Nothobranchius furzeri: one gene and its partners. The protein of the gene in region 1 purifies or fractionates together with the protein of each later gene. This does not show direct contact. Links are inferred from orthologs where the notes say so. Each region holds a gene or a part of one and is shown in the gene's direction. Other genes may lie near its edges.

Evidence for each region. The genes of interacting proteins can lie anywhere in the genome.
Region 2: the proteins of atxn2l (region 1) and lsm12b purify together in Homo sapiens (affinity purification with mass spectrometry; 4 studies listed by BioGRID and IntAct, with this or other methods). This does not show direct contact. The link is inferred for Nothobranchius furzeri from reciprocal best matches to the Homo sapiens genes ATXN2L and LSM12.
Region 3: the proteins of atxn2l (region 1) and g3bp2a purify together in Homo sapiens (affinity purification with mass spectrometry; 4 studies listed by BioGRID and IntAct, counting the BioPlex papers as one, with this or other methods). This does not show direct contact. The link is inferred for Nothobranchius furzeri from reciprocal best matches to the Homo sapiens genes ATXN2L and G3BP2.

Annotation. Positions count from the first base shown.
Region 1 is NC_091756.1:34,773,612-34,778,324, reverse strand, and holds the start of atxn2l (ataxin-2-like protein), read left to right. Parts: upstream 1-1,833; 5' UTR 1,834-2,042; coding exon 2,043-2,155; intron 2,156-2,888; exon of another isoform or gene 2,889-2,904; intron 2,905-2,914; coding exon 2,915-2,954; intron 2,955-3,224; coding exon 3,225-3,281; intron 3,282-3,979; coding exon 3,980-4,051; intron 4,052-4,705; coding exon 4,706-4,713. Other genes in the region: protein MTO1 homolog, mitochondrial, read right to left, coding at 1-15. UniProt on the Homo sapiens protein: Involved in the regulation of stress granule and P-body formation.
Region 2 is NC_091756.1:47,423,459-47,428,070, reverse strand, and holds the start of lsm12b (protein LSM12 homolog A), read left to right. Parts: upstream 1-1,629; 5' UTR 1,630-1,782; coding exon 1,783-1,909; intron 1,910-3,937; coding exon 3,938-4,071; intron 4,072-4,612. Other genes in the region: g6pc3 (glucose-6-phosphatase 3), read right to left, coding at 1-51. UniProt on the Homo sapiens protein: Nicotinic acid adenine dinucleotide phosphate (NAADP) binding protein. Confers NAADP sensitivity to the two pore channel complex (TPCs) by acting as TPC accessory protein necessary for NAADP-evoked Ca(2+) release.
Region 3 is NC_091744.1:13,117,504-13,122,025, forward strand, and holds the start of g3bp2a (ras GTPase-activating protein-binding protein 2), read left to right. Parts: upstream 1-1,539; 5' UTR 1,540-1,721; intron 1,722-3,906; 5' UTR 3,907-3,930; coding exon 3,931-4,025; intron 4,026-4,099; coding exon 4,100-4,181; intron 4,182-4,326; coding exon 4,327-4,500; intron 4,501-4,522.

The DNA of each region.
Region 1 (4,713 bases):
CTTCTTTGTCAACATCTATACCTGTCAAAATAAAAGCACCATGCATTCAAACTTTTATTTTTCTGCTACACAACAGTTGTGTCATTACTACATTTACAAAGTAAACATTTACTCCATCTAATACCTTTTGTTTTTAACCAATCCATTCTGTGTTTTTAATCTGGCTGTAATTTGATACTTAAGTTCAGTTTTTATTTATTTTGTTGGTATGTAATTTAAATTATTTTGACAACACATTTAACACATATGACACACACTGGACATTTAGTCACGTTTTGCTTTTAGGAAGTCTACAAGTACATTAGCCTTTACTAGGTTTTACTTTTTTACTTTACTATTATTTGTGCAAAACGACAAAATCAAGATATAAGGTCGTTAATAAAAATGTTTGACTTGTTGTACATAAGACACAAAATGAGGGGCAATTTCTGCTTTTGGCAAACACAGATCTGCGAAATTAAACGCGATCAAATGAGTTTTTGTGGGGGAAAAAAACTTAGTCTATAGTATTAAAACGCTGGTTTTTAATTATATTCCTTAATTTAACACGATTTGATCGAATCAGTGATGGTTATAGCCACTCAAAATAACCTCAAGCACTTACGGTTCCTTTGGCAGAGGATGAAAGATGTATTTTGTTTTCTTGGTAGTTTGCTAACAGCAAAAACTGAGACTCAAGCACAGAAGAACTAGTAAATTACCGAACTGTCGACACACTAATGTCTCTCTACGGAGGCCGCCATGCTGTTTGTAGACTAGTGCTGTAATAACTGCTGTAAAGACGCACTCGCATTTCTTTGGCTATGTTTTTTTCTGTCGTCACAATTGATCGATGGTTCATAAATGAAACTGACAACAGAACTCAGAGCCGCCACACTTGTGAAAAGGTGGATGGATAAAACGTAATTAAATACAATTTAACACGATACGTTGTGAACAGTTTGCGTTTATAATTTATCAGGTGCCTGCCACGTGTACAGCTGAATGCACCATTTGTTGTATGTTTCAGCGACACCTGTTTAGATCAATTAATTAATTGATTATTTATTTATTTGTGCTCGGCATTCCACGTAGGCGCGCGCTCAACGCACGTGAATTCACCCCCATCTTTTTTTTCAGCAGGTGTTGTGTCAAACGGATAGTCCACCAGAAACGGAAGTGCGTCCGCGGGAGCGCGCGCTAAACATTGTCGGCAGCATTTCCTGTTGTCTTCCGGCATGGTTTAACATTAGTTCCCACCACCTCAATAAAAGCAAATTAAAATTAAAAAAGTATATTAAAAGTGTATGCTCACACATTATACATATTTAAGTATTCTTGCATTTTCCCACAGAGCAGACCTATACGCGTATTTGCTAAGGGAAAAAAAAACCTAGACAGAATAGGTTTATAGCAGTACATCAAGTGAACGCTGGTTGCGCTCGTGCCCGCGGACGTGAAGCAACTTTTCACACCACAGCAGTTTTGGCACAACACCTATTTCCAGTCAGCAGCGCGCGGATTGAGTCAAGTGAACCTACCGAAAGGTGGTGTTGACCGACCGCAGCAGGTTTTCAGTTAGAAACCTGAACATTTCAACCTCCTAAGGCAACTGACTGGCAGTAACGCCAGGTCCTTAGTTTATTACGGAAGAGCCAGCAGCGCCGGAGTTGAGGCTACGAGACCGACGGGAGAAAGTAAATCCCGGGGGGAAAGCGCCCGAAGTGAGCTTGAGGATCAAAGCTACCGCTAACTTAGCCAGTCACTGCTAAATAATTAAACGGAAACTGGTGGCTCTTTACTGGTTGTTTTTTGACGTAATAATTGGGGTTACAGAGTAAATACTTTGGGGCAATTTCTTAACTTATTTATTACATTTTTATTTAGTTACCGAAGGGTTTTGCCTCAGCGTTTTAGGCCACAGGCGACAGTAGCCGGTCTTTTTGAGGTTACACCGGCTCTGGTGCTAAACATAGTTGGATTTTACTTCCGCTTCATTACGGGAGGTATCAATTTTGATAAATTAGGTTAAACTTGATATTTTCTAAGCCTTGTGCTTCGCAATGCTGAAACCCCAGCAGCAACCCGGCTCAGGCGGGAGAAAGGCATCCAACGGAACGTCAGGCCCAGGCGGTATGTCTTCCCCAGTCAGCGGCAGCAGGACATCGACTGCAAGGTAAGCGAGTTGGGTTCTCTTGGTGGGATAGTCCGAGGCTTGTCTTCTTGTGTCTGAAAGGCCTACCGGTTGAAGTGCTATGCTACGGGTGGGCGTGGTTTAAGAGTTATTCAGTTTCAGCCAATTACATTACTATTTTATTGATTGACAGCAACGTTGAACCAATAAGAAAACTTGATTTGTTCTAATCCAAAACTTTGAGGCGGACCTAAGTGGGTGAAAACAATGAGCACCATAGCATAACGGGGATGCAAAGTTTATGTGGCCTGTCAGTGCTAAAGAAAGTACGCGTATTTTTCTAATTCTCGTAGTCAGTAAAACGTGTTATTCTATTTTTAAATGTTACACTTAAGATATTTTGGGCCTACAAAATGGTCTGGTGTTATTTTTTCAGAAGAGAGTGTGTGTGTGTGTGTGTTCACTGGACTCGATGAAGCTGTCTTTGTTTTGTAACCAGCTGCGATGCCCTTATTTTTACTGAATGCAATTTAATTTAGATCGTTCTGAAAACATTTTTAAATGGCTTGAATAAAGAAATAAATTACATTAACATAAATCGTGTTAGGTCAGCGTCTGTTACTTAAAAAAACAACATGTGGAAAACAAGCACCTGCTAAAAATGTGTTTTCGGAAAGATGGCTCTGACTCCCTATGATAGCATTTAAATTCCTAGTGTGTGTGTGTGTGTGTGTGTGTGTGTGTGTGTGTGTGTGTGTGATGGCACGAATCGTACTTAACAGCGTCCGACGTTTATTACAGGAATCGAACTTCTGCAAAGTCCTCTTTCCAGTCGCCACCTGTGAGTGTTCTGAAAAATGTTGATCAACACACACACACACACACACACACACACACACACACACACACACACACACACACACACACACACACACACACGGTTTGTGCACATTGGACACAATAGTTGTTTTTATTTTAAAATAGGCTTGCATCAGTGAATGTGTAAAAACCAAACCTGTCAACAAGTTAACTGTGTAATTATGTTACAGTTTTTGCTTGTTTTACATCAAATCTTCAGAAATCTGTCTTGATGCATAACTTTTGTGTGTAGGTGTTTGAGGGTGTGTACAACAATGCCAGAATGCTTCATTTCCTCACAGCTGTTGTGGTAAGTCAGTTTAGTCATTGTTAAAACTCTTCTCAAAGCAACTCATCAGCGCAGTATTTTCCTGCTCCTGGTGACTAAAGGTTGCAGAATAAAAGTGCATGGATTTGTGTCGTGGTTTGTCATTTCCTCAAATATACATGGTGTGTTTTGTAACTTTTTCTCCAAAATACTCAGAAATAGGGGTAGACTGACATATCGATCGGCGAATATATCTGGACGATGTTTACCGTTTTTATACATCGGCTGATATCTGTCCTTAGTAAAGCCTAAAGTCAGCCGCTTCCTTGGGCACCCAGTGCTGTTGCAGAATTTAAATTAAATTAAATTTTGTGTTCACAAATAACATCCGTATAATAAATACTCTAAATTAACTTAATTTAGTTGTCTGACACTGACAAGTGCACAGCTGGTTAAATTTAGAGTTCAAAAACTTGATTCAGTTTGAGAAATTGTGTCAACTGATGTTAATAGTGACATTTTAGCATGAAAATCAGGTGGAAAACGTGTCGATCTAGGCCATGAAAGTTGGCCCATAAGTTCGTCAGTACATTTTGGCCATGGTCTGACCATGTCTCCCGCATGTTGATGATATTGACAATTAAAAACAATATCGGTTGACTCCTGTTTGAAAATTCTTAGATGGCAAATATTGTCCTTCTGTGTGCAATATTTGTGAAACCAAATGATTTTTCTTGCAGGGATCCACCTGTGACATCAGAGTGAAGAATGGCAATGTGTTTGAAGGCATATTTAAGACTCTCAGTTCTCGGGTAAGAATTTTGTCTCCATCAAATAAAAGCATGGCATTTTTGTTTTTGATTATTTGCCCTAGAAATAATTCCAGTAATTAAAACCTCTTCCTATTGAAAACCCTAGCCATTCATGTGGTTCCAGATCAGCTTTTTTAAACGTTTGAAAGCAATGGTAGGCACAATATATGATAAAATATTACCAATGGCTCCATTGAGATGTCATTAATACTGGCAAGTGTAGCTGAAGAAGAAGAAGAAAAGGTTACTTCTGTCACCGGCAGTCAACCCTGTGCAAAACGACATGCCAGTCCAGCACTCTAACCACCAGTCGCTTTGTAGGCAGGATGCATGGTCTTTACAGCGGTGTTTAGTCACAAATGCAGAAGTAATTTGTCAGAATATCCAGGTTTCAGAACTGAGACCACCAGCTTCAGGTGGAGGAGAAGTGCCTGGTGGGTTTATTCCGTTTGTAGGACAAATGTTTTCATCGACTAAACTGAAGTTCAGACATGAAAATGCACAAATGGAGCCAAAAAAGGGTTTGGCGGCATTTCTCATGAGGAAATGACTATCACACAGTAAAAAGTTCCAAAAATAAGATTATCCATGATGTGGAACCTTTAAAGTTGGTAAAAGTCAGATTTGTCCTTTCTCTGCTGTGTCTGTTGTCAGTGTGAGCT
Region 2 (4,612 bases), about 13 Mb from region 1:
TTGCTGGAGAGTTTCAGCGACCCAAATGCCCTGTGTGTAGACGGACTCCATTTTAACGAACCCCCTCTAAAGTATCTAAAAGCAGTTGAACCTCAAAACATGTAGCTAATTGTCGGATGATGAAATCTAGGATGAGATGCTGAAAATGTTGCACTACTAGTTTATTTCCAGCAGGAGGAGCTGTTTTACGTTGGGTTTCTTTCTTTCGTGGAACCGAGCGTTACGTCGAGATATGTCACTCAGTGTTCCAATATTAGTTCTAAGTAGATAGAAGATAAAATATGTTATTTTAAAAATTTAAGACCAGAAAATTTTATAATTCATTCATGTAAACCTGAAGTGAATGTGGTATTTCAAGAAATATTTAAAGATTTTACAACTAAATTCTTCATATTCGGAGGCTCCTATTAAGACAAAAGAAAGGATTTTATTAAACAACCTGACTGTGTATTTAAATAACACTATGCATAAAAAATCATAATAGAACAATTGAAGTAATAAAAAGATGGCCTCATGTCAAGATAGGTTGACAACAATAGGATATTTATATGAATCTTTCTGGGAAGATCTAATCACATTTATTTGAGGTGAAAATTTGAACATAGAAAGATTCATTAACATTTAATAAAGCAAGACCCTTACCCTAATCCATCCATTTTCCTCCGCTGATCCAGGGTTGGGTCACAATTGGGCCAGTTCCTCTGGGGGAATCCCAAAGAATTCCCTGGACAGACAAGAAATCAGTTATCAAGTTGAACATGCCTGGAAACCCTCACCAGGGAGGTGTCCAGGAGGCATCCTAACAAGATGTCTGAGCCACTTCACCTCGATGAGGAGGAGCAGCGGATCTACTCCAAGCCCCACCCTGTTGTCCTGGGGGGAATTGCTTAGCAAGATTCCCCAGGAGACAGAGAAGTCTGAAGGCAAAACAACAATGATGTTGTGAACCTGGGTGTCTGTGTGTATTTGTTAGCGGCTCCGCCCTCTTGGTCTGCCAGGCAACAGCAACAGGAAGAGGGAGTAGAGTAAGACTCTGGTAGGGGGCGACTTGCCCTTTAATTATTATTCATCATCAAATGTTTCCTTATTACTAGAAATATTAGTTTGAGGTAAAACTTAACTATGAGGAACAAAGCTGTGCTTATCCTTAGAATAATTAATCAGCGCCAACAACATTTGAAAACAGTTTGATGAACACATTTTCCCTTTTATCCACATTTTTTATTGAAAGTAATTAGTACATTTTTGCACATTTACAAAAAAGAATATATGTAGATACAGTTTTGATTCCTTTTGTATTTTCCACATAATAAAATAGTTAATAAGGGAGGGAGCTGGGGGGGAACTTGTTGGAGTTAACATACTAGGTCCCAGAAAAATGATTTACATAACAAAACTTTGTAACAAATTAACATACATTATGAATTATTCCTGAAACCAGACATAATTAGATGCGTGTTTAGGATGTTGTTTTACTGCTGCTGTGGTATGGTCAAATCAGGGAAGTGACGCATTAGTCAGTGTTCGCTGTAAACCTTTGCTCTAAATGACTGATGTGTTTTGTTTTAAATAACGCCTCTTTCTTTAAATCTGTATGATCCGTAAATCGCCTGACGTACTGTGTGGGGTAAGGGTAATATATTCAAAGAACATTTGAGGTAAAGTATGCGTAATATTTGTCAATGACCTTAACTCGGCGTACGAGGGCACGCCCAGATTCGTCTTCCTACGCCACCACGTTGCTTTACGTAAGGCAGGCGCTCCGGTTTCCTGGCGGAGAAGATGGCGGCTCCTGGACCGGGGGAGTATTTCAGCGTCGGGAGCCATGTCTCCTGCCTCACCTGCTTGGGCCAACGGCTACAAGGAGAAGTGGTCGCTTTTGATTACCAGTCCAAGATGTTAACCCTGAGTATCCTTTGTTTGTTTCTCGCTGCGGACGGATGGCTGGCTGGCCTGCCTGGCTGCACAGGCCTGTAGGGTAACCGAAAATATGTCAAATAGTGATCCGCGCAGGCGTAATTGGTGGGAGCTGAGTTACACATCTTTGTCCGTTTTAAGTTATTTCATTTTCCGAAGTAGTTGTCCATTTTTTTGTGAAATTAAGTCATCATTTGCGTTTTCTTGGTGTTTTAATGCGCCTGCTCGGACGTACATGTGTTTTGAATCCACTCATTGTATTGGCAGCTCTCGACATGGATCACTATTTGGCATCATGGCTGTGTGCTCTCAACAGTTAGCAGGCTAACTGACATTCAGCGCATCTCGCTCTGACTTGTGTCCGCACGTGTATCTCACACAGTCTTCACCCACAGATGCCAGCGCTCGCTTTAATGAGTTCGTTTTATTTTCTACGACACCCATCGGAGCTACAGGGGAAGGGCTGCTAGCTCGGCTAACATGCTAACTTTCGTACAAACCATTCCACCCATATTCTGCTCGGAAGCTATGTTAACGCTAGTACGCATCTAAGGTGTGTTAGCCTGTTTTTATTGCGAGTTTATCACGATTTTATTTTCTTGTGACACAAATTAATTACAGCTAATCACGATTCATTTGGGTTAGCATGCTGAGCTGATCACAACTAACCTTAGCTTGTCTGTGAGCATGCTTCCATCCCTTCATGGGAGGAGGATATAGGTGTATGATAAAATGTAGTCATTTGATTAGAGGCTAATTTAAAATTAAAATAATACGCTAAACTTCTGGTGTAGTGACAGTCTACGTGACCGAACTGGCATATGACTCAAGAGGGTTAAAAAAAGAATGAATGGGTTTGACAGTGAGGGCGTTCTGTGTCTAAAACATAACTACGTCACTCATTTAATGTATAATTTCCCCCAAGCAAAATTGGATGTATGATTTTTCTAAATTAAAGGCTTCAAAATGTTTCTAGCTATAAAAAGATGATTGAAATCTTTAAGTATCTGTTGGAAGTGGGGATGTTTGAACAGATGGACCCAAGTTCTGCTCTGAGGTCTGGCAAAACTGGACCTTCTGTAATTTTCACAGGTTATAGCGTCACCAGGTAACTTGTGAATATATTTACATACAATACAGTTCCATCTGTTGATTTCATCATAAAGTACTAAATGTACTAAAACATGTTTTGACACTTCTCATAAAGGTTCCCATTTGGATGTTCATAATTTAGACCGGTAGTGACATTTAAATGGTTTTAGTGAATCTGTCAGCATTTTTGTGACAAATTCAGTACAGTGAAACTACAAACATGATGTTAAAAGCTAATTGTGTTTTTGGTGTTCATGTCAAATGTCCAGATTTTCTCTATTGTGGGTCAGTGTGCCAAAAATATCGTGGAATAAACCCCAAAAAGAGACTTGTTTTAGAAACTTCCTGACAATCTTGCCTCTTGTTAACCAAAGTGAAAGAAAGGATCATGTGTTGAAACTGTCGATGCTTTTCTGTTTCCACTTTCAATATGTTCTCGTGTTTGTTTGCTTCTATCGGCATCCCCTAAATACTTCGGCTTGCCATACAGCCGTTCATTCCAGGGTGAAATGCATCAGGATTTAAATGTGCATTTAGATTAAAACCCTCAGTTTGAATAAATAAATGAGTATTTTATCAGTGGAATTAGATTTTAAGATGAGTGATTTGTTGGAAACATTCCAACAGAAAAACAGATTCAACACGCTGCAAGTTTAATCAAATATTAATCTGAGAAAGAAGACATTTGTGGCTGTGTGCAGGCTGTCTAATTCCTATTCCTTCATTCATGTGTTGCTGCTGTAGGTGGCAGCACTGCCCTCAGCAGTCACACGCTGTAACTGGCACCACCTTTCACTGTCTGGTTATCAGCCACAGCTCCTATCAGAATGCAGATGGTGTTCGAGTTCCTCGGGGTCAGATAACAATAGTAATTTTGTTCTTCAAGTCAGTGTCGTGAAATTTTCTGCCTTAACTTGTGTCTTTAAAGAATGCGCTTCCTCCAGTGGTAAGTCAAACCTCAACGACGTCATCCTGATCAACTTAGCCTATGTATCTGAAGTGGACATAATAAATGACCGGACTGAGACTCCACCTCCACTAGCATCTCTGAATGTTGGCAAGGTGAGTTTGTCTCATTTCTGCTGCTTTTGCCATTAGAACAATGTTGTGATACATTTGAACTCAACGTTCAGCTGTGATGTGTCACAAACAGGATCCATCGATTCTAAGATCCTTATTTATTCTAACTTCAAAAGCCCGTACAGCGTGGCTCTTGTACGTTTGTGGTGCATTTAAATGGACAAAGTGGCACATATCCTGCCCCTCATTAACATAAAGGTGAGGTCTGGGTTTGTAAGGTGCGACTGGCGCAGATGTGTGACCTCAGAAAACCACTACACAGATAAATGTGTTTATTTTCCTTTGAAAGGTGCCTCATTTTAACAGTATCACAAAAATTTCTAACAATTCTCTTGAAATGCTTTATTATATTGGTCCGATTATAATATCGTTTTGGTTAGCCTATAGCAAAGGGAATGCTGCATGTTCCTGTAGCTGTGACAACATACCTAAATGATCTTACGGTGCACTTTGGTGATTTTCTACGGCAACTGTTCCCAAGCTTTTCAGCTTCAAACTAATAAAGTACAAAAGCCTACAGACA
Region 3 (4,522 bases), on another chromosome or scaffold:
GGCATATATACCTGAAGGAGATTCGACATGTATTGTGGTCCCATGCCATTGAGTGATTTATAAACTAGTTACTAGAAGTACTTTGAAATTGATTCTGTAGTTTACTGGAAACCAGTGTAGAGATCTAAGAACAGGAATGATGTGTTCGTTTCTCTTGGTTCTTGTTATGACTTTGGTAGCAGCATTCTGAAAAAGCTGCAGTTGCAGTTTTTTTGAGAAGACCAGTCAAAAGTCCATTACAATAGTCCAGCCTGCTAGAGATGAACACATGAGTTTCTATAGGTCTTGTTTGGACATGAGACGCCTGAGTGGTACTATCTGATGAAGATGATAAAACGCTGATCTATTTATAGCCCTAATGTGACCAGTGAAGCTCAGGTCTGAATCAATTATGACACCAACATTTCTAACCTGGTCCTTTGTCTTTACTCCTCTGGAGCCAAGCTGATCAATAACCTCCAACCTATCCTTCTTATTTCCAAAGACAATAAATTCAGCCTTGTCTTTGTTTAACTGGAGTAAGTTTGACTGCATCCAGTCATTGACTTGCTCCAAACACTGACAGAGTGAGTCTAGAGGACCACAGTCACTAGGTGATAGATCTAGGTAGATCTGGGTGTCGTCTACATAACTATGATAGGCAATGCTGTTATTGTGTATGACTTGACCCAGGGGGAGCATGTAGAGATTGAAGAGCAGTGGTCTGAGAATTGAGCCTTGGGGGACCTCACAAGTCATAGTGATCAGCTTTGATTTGTGATCACCAATAGAAACAAAACACCTGTCTTCAAGATAAGATTGGAACCAACTATGGACTGTACCTGAAAGTCCCACCCAGGTTATGAGCCTATCAAGAAGGATGTTGTGGTCCACAGTATTAAAAGCTGCACTGAGATCAAGCATCATAAGGACAGATGTGTTGCCTGAAACTGTATTTAGACGAATATCATTTAATACTTTATTAAGTGCAGTCTCAGTGCTTTGGTGTTGTCTAACTATCTAGCAGGTTGTCTCTAAAAAGTTGTTCTGCTGGATCATAACAGCTTTTTCAATAATTTTCCCAATGAAGAGCAGATTAGCATTCTGCCATATGTATTGTATCCTGATGTAATGAGCCACCACTACATATATCTATTTAGTCTAGCTTGCCAGGCTAGGTCTAAGTGACATTTCATTAACACTGTAAAGGGTCATTTTTAGCATACTGGCTGAAGAAAATGATTGAAAAATATGAAAATGTTGCAAAGTATCCCTTTAAACAGAGATTTGAATTGCACATGCTTACACATTAGGGTTACGCAACAATTTCCCCTTTTTTTTTTCTTTTATTTATTTTTTATTTTTATTATTATTTTTTTTTTTGTTCCACATAATGGAACTTGTAAAACTCCATACATTCTGTTCTGGCACATGATGGAGAAAGTTTGTAGTGGGCGCGGTTTTATGTGCTGCGTCACACTTCATATGATCTAGTGTAAGCCATCCATTGGTTAAATTAGGTCAACGGGGGTTCCCTGCCCCAAATGCAGGGGTGGAAAAAATAAATCGAAGGCATCACTACGAAATCGTCAATCTCTGGCACAGCAGAGATCATATACGGCTGTGGTAGAGAGTGCACACAATTACCTGAAATACGTTGTATTTCAGAACCGTTTACAGTCGACCATTCGTATTTATTTACTAAACTTGAATTCTGTCTCCATAGATAGGTCCTTCATAAGGTAAGTTAGCCTTTTAGCTAAATCAGCTACCAGACAAACCGGCAAGCTAATCTGCATTGTCTAAACCACAATTACCTAGTTACAAACAGTTGTTGTCCGAAGTTGCTAACTCTTTGTTTAGTTAATGGTCAAAAATAACCACATTAGCCACGAACGCTGACATTTTAAATGTTCATTCGGTTTGTCAACTTGTTTTCTTTTATCTTAGTTCTCGTTTTAATAGTTCGAAAGTGTAAGTTGTTGATTGGGTTAATAAAGTTTGGCAAAACGTAATATGTCTATTATCTAAAGCTTTACCGGCAATTAAAGGGCTGATAGTTCTTGATTCAACGTTAATTTCAAGTCCACTGATGTCTTATGGTGAGGTAACGTCATGTTGACTTAGCTTTCAGCACTCATATTAGGATGAAAGGCTCTGGTTTTGTACGAATGTAAAGTGTTGGTAACAATTTGTTGGCAGTTTATTCCCAATGCTTTCTTGTAACGTCTGAACATTTGCCAAATTTTAAAGCTTTCCCCGACTCACAAAGTGCCCATAGCTGGAGGAAAAACGACGACGCCACAAGTTAGCCAGCGCTAGTTAGCTTGCTAAACTCGAAGTTGCTGTTGTTTCCTGGGTTAGCGTTAGCCATTTCAGGTGACAGTGATGTGGTCTGTAAATGGACATTTACGTTCTGTTCTTACTGTATGATTTATCTCGTGTTAGCTGTCAGCGTAGGTACACTGTGTTCCTGACATGTCTGCAACCTGAGCACACAAAGAAAAAAAAACGAATCGGTCACGTCATGTCGTCTGTGAACATGCGACAAATGTGAGATTAGCAAAGTGTTGTCAGCACAGACATGAAAGGCCTCATACACCAGGCCGTTCATCTACAAAGATTTGCGCAGATATGTCTAACACATGTATGCAACTATTAACTTTGAAGCGGAATTGATTTGTTGTAAAGCCCGTGTAAATCTCCCAATATTCACGAACGTCTGCACAAGACGCTTCCCTTTTTTTTTTATTTACACCCGGTTTCCCCCTTTGTTTGATTGCATGATTCTGATGGCGCAGTTGAATGTTGGCTAAAATGTTAGCCATTGTGCAAATGATTTAGCTAAGATTGTGACCAGATAAGGATCACCTGTAGGTGAATTGGTGATCTTTATTGGTGATGTTTTTAGTCAAGTTTTTTAATTATATAATTGTTTACGTGAACTGTCTGGGTCTTTAAAGGAATGTTTATAATTATAGCAAAATGCTGAATAAAATTGTCACGTGAAATGTGTCATAAAGATAAAAAAACACTTGGGTCTCTTCTAATAAAATTGTCTTAATCAGTTAAGTTACGAAAATCAGTGAACTCTTCAGAATTGCACATGTCAGCATTTTTCATGATAAAGGATTTAAGTATTTTACACTACTGCAGGTACTGTTCTGCTGAAATTTAGATCCGAATCATTGAGTCTGACGGTCAGATTTTTTTGCCATCTGTTCGTGACCATGGTGTTAGTAAAATTTTAGCCATTAAACAAGCAAAACAAACTGAAGCAGTTGTGTAAAAAGGAAACAATATTTGAGTTAGACATTTTTTTCTTGTTTACATAAACACATCCTTGTTACTCAGCTAAGGCTCAGAAAGCATAAAGATGTAACTGTTCTCAAGTAATTTATAACTTGAATTTCAATAATGAGTAATCAATTAGTCAGTGTTCCCAACTACTAACAGGTTAGAGTTGGACTATAATGATAAATGACCTGCTCTTGTAGCGCCTCTCAGAGTCAGAGGACTCCAAAGCGCTTTACACTTCAGTGCAACATTCGTGCATTCACACAGTGGTAGTGATAAGCTACAGTGTAGTCACAGCTGCCTTGGGGGTGCATTGGCGGAGGCAAGGCTGCCGAGCACATGCGCCAACGGTCCCTCCGACAATCACCACCGGCAGGCAGGGAGGGTTAAGTGTCTTGCTGAAGGACACAACAGCAGAATTTTCTTCCAGGAGCCGGTATCAATCCTACAACCCACTCTACCTCCTGAGCTACTTTCTTCTAATACTTTTATTGGCAATAAATTCCTCAAATGTTGTCCTCTATAATTAGATATTAACTTTTTTGCCCTGATTTACTGTAGCTATGTGTTTGAGATCACATTCTTAATTTTTTTTTTTTTTTTTTTTTTTTTTTTTTTTTTTTTTTTTAGCACTTAATATTGTTTACCAAAGAAATGGTGATGGAGAAGCCAAGTCCCCTGCTTGTAGGGCGGGAGTTTGTGAGGCAGTATTACACACTCTTGAACAAGGCACCAGATTTTCTTCACAGGTAAGTATATAAATGTAATTAAGCTTTTTTATGTAGACAACATTGTATTTTTTTATGACTAACTGTATATTCAGGTTCTATGGAAGGAATTCTTCCTATGTTCACGGGGGGCTTGACACAAGTGGGAAGCTGGCAGAAGCAGTGTACGGGCAAGCGGTAGGTGCTACAGCTTGATAATGACAATTCTCTTTGTTAATACGCTTTTGAAATGGAATATTCTGAAGTTGGGGTTTTTAAAATGGGGATTGACCACCCTAGAATTCTGGGTTTTTCTTTTTCTTTCTGGCTCCACACCCTTCAGGAAATCCACAAGAAAGTCATGTCCCTGCAGTTTAGTGAATGCCACACAAAGATCCGGCATGTCGATGCCCATGCCACTCTGAGTGATGGAGTCGTGGTTCAGGTCCTTGGAGAACTGTCAAACAACGGTCAACCTATGAGGAAATTTATGCAAACATTCGTGCTTGCTCCAGAGGTGAGTGCTCCCAACGTTCAGA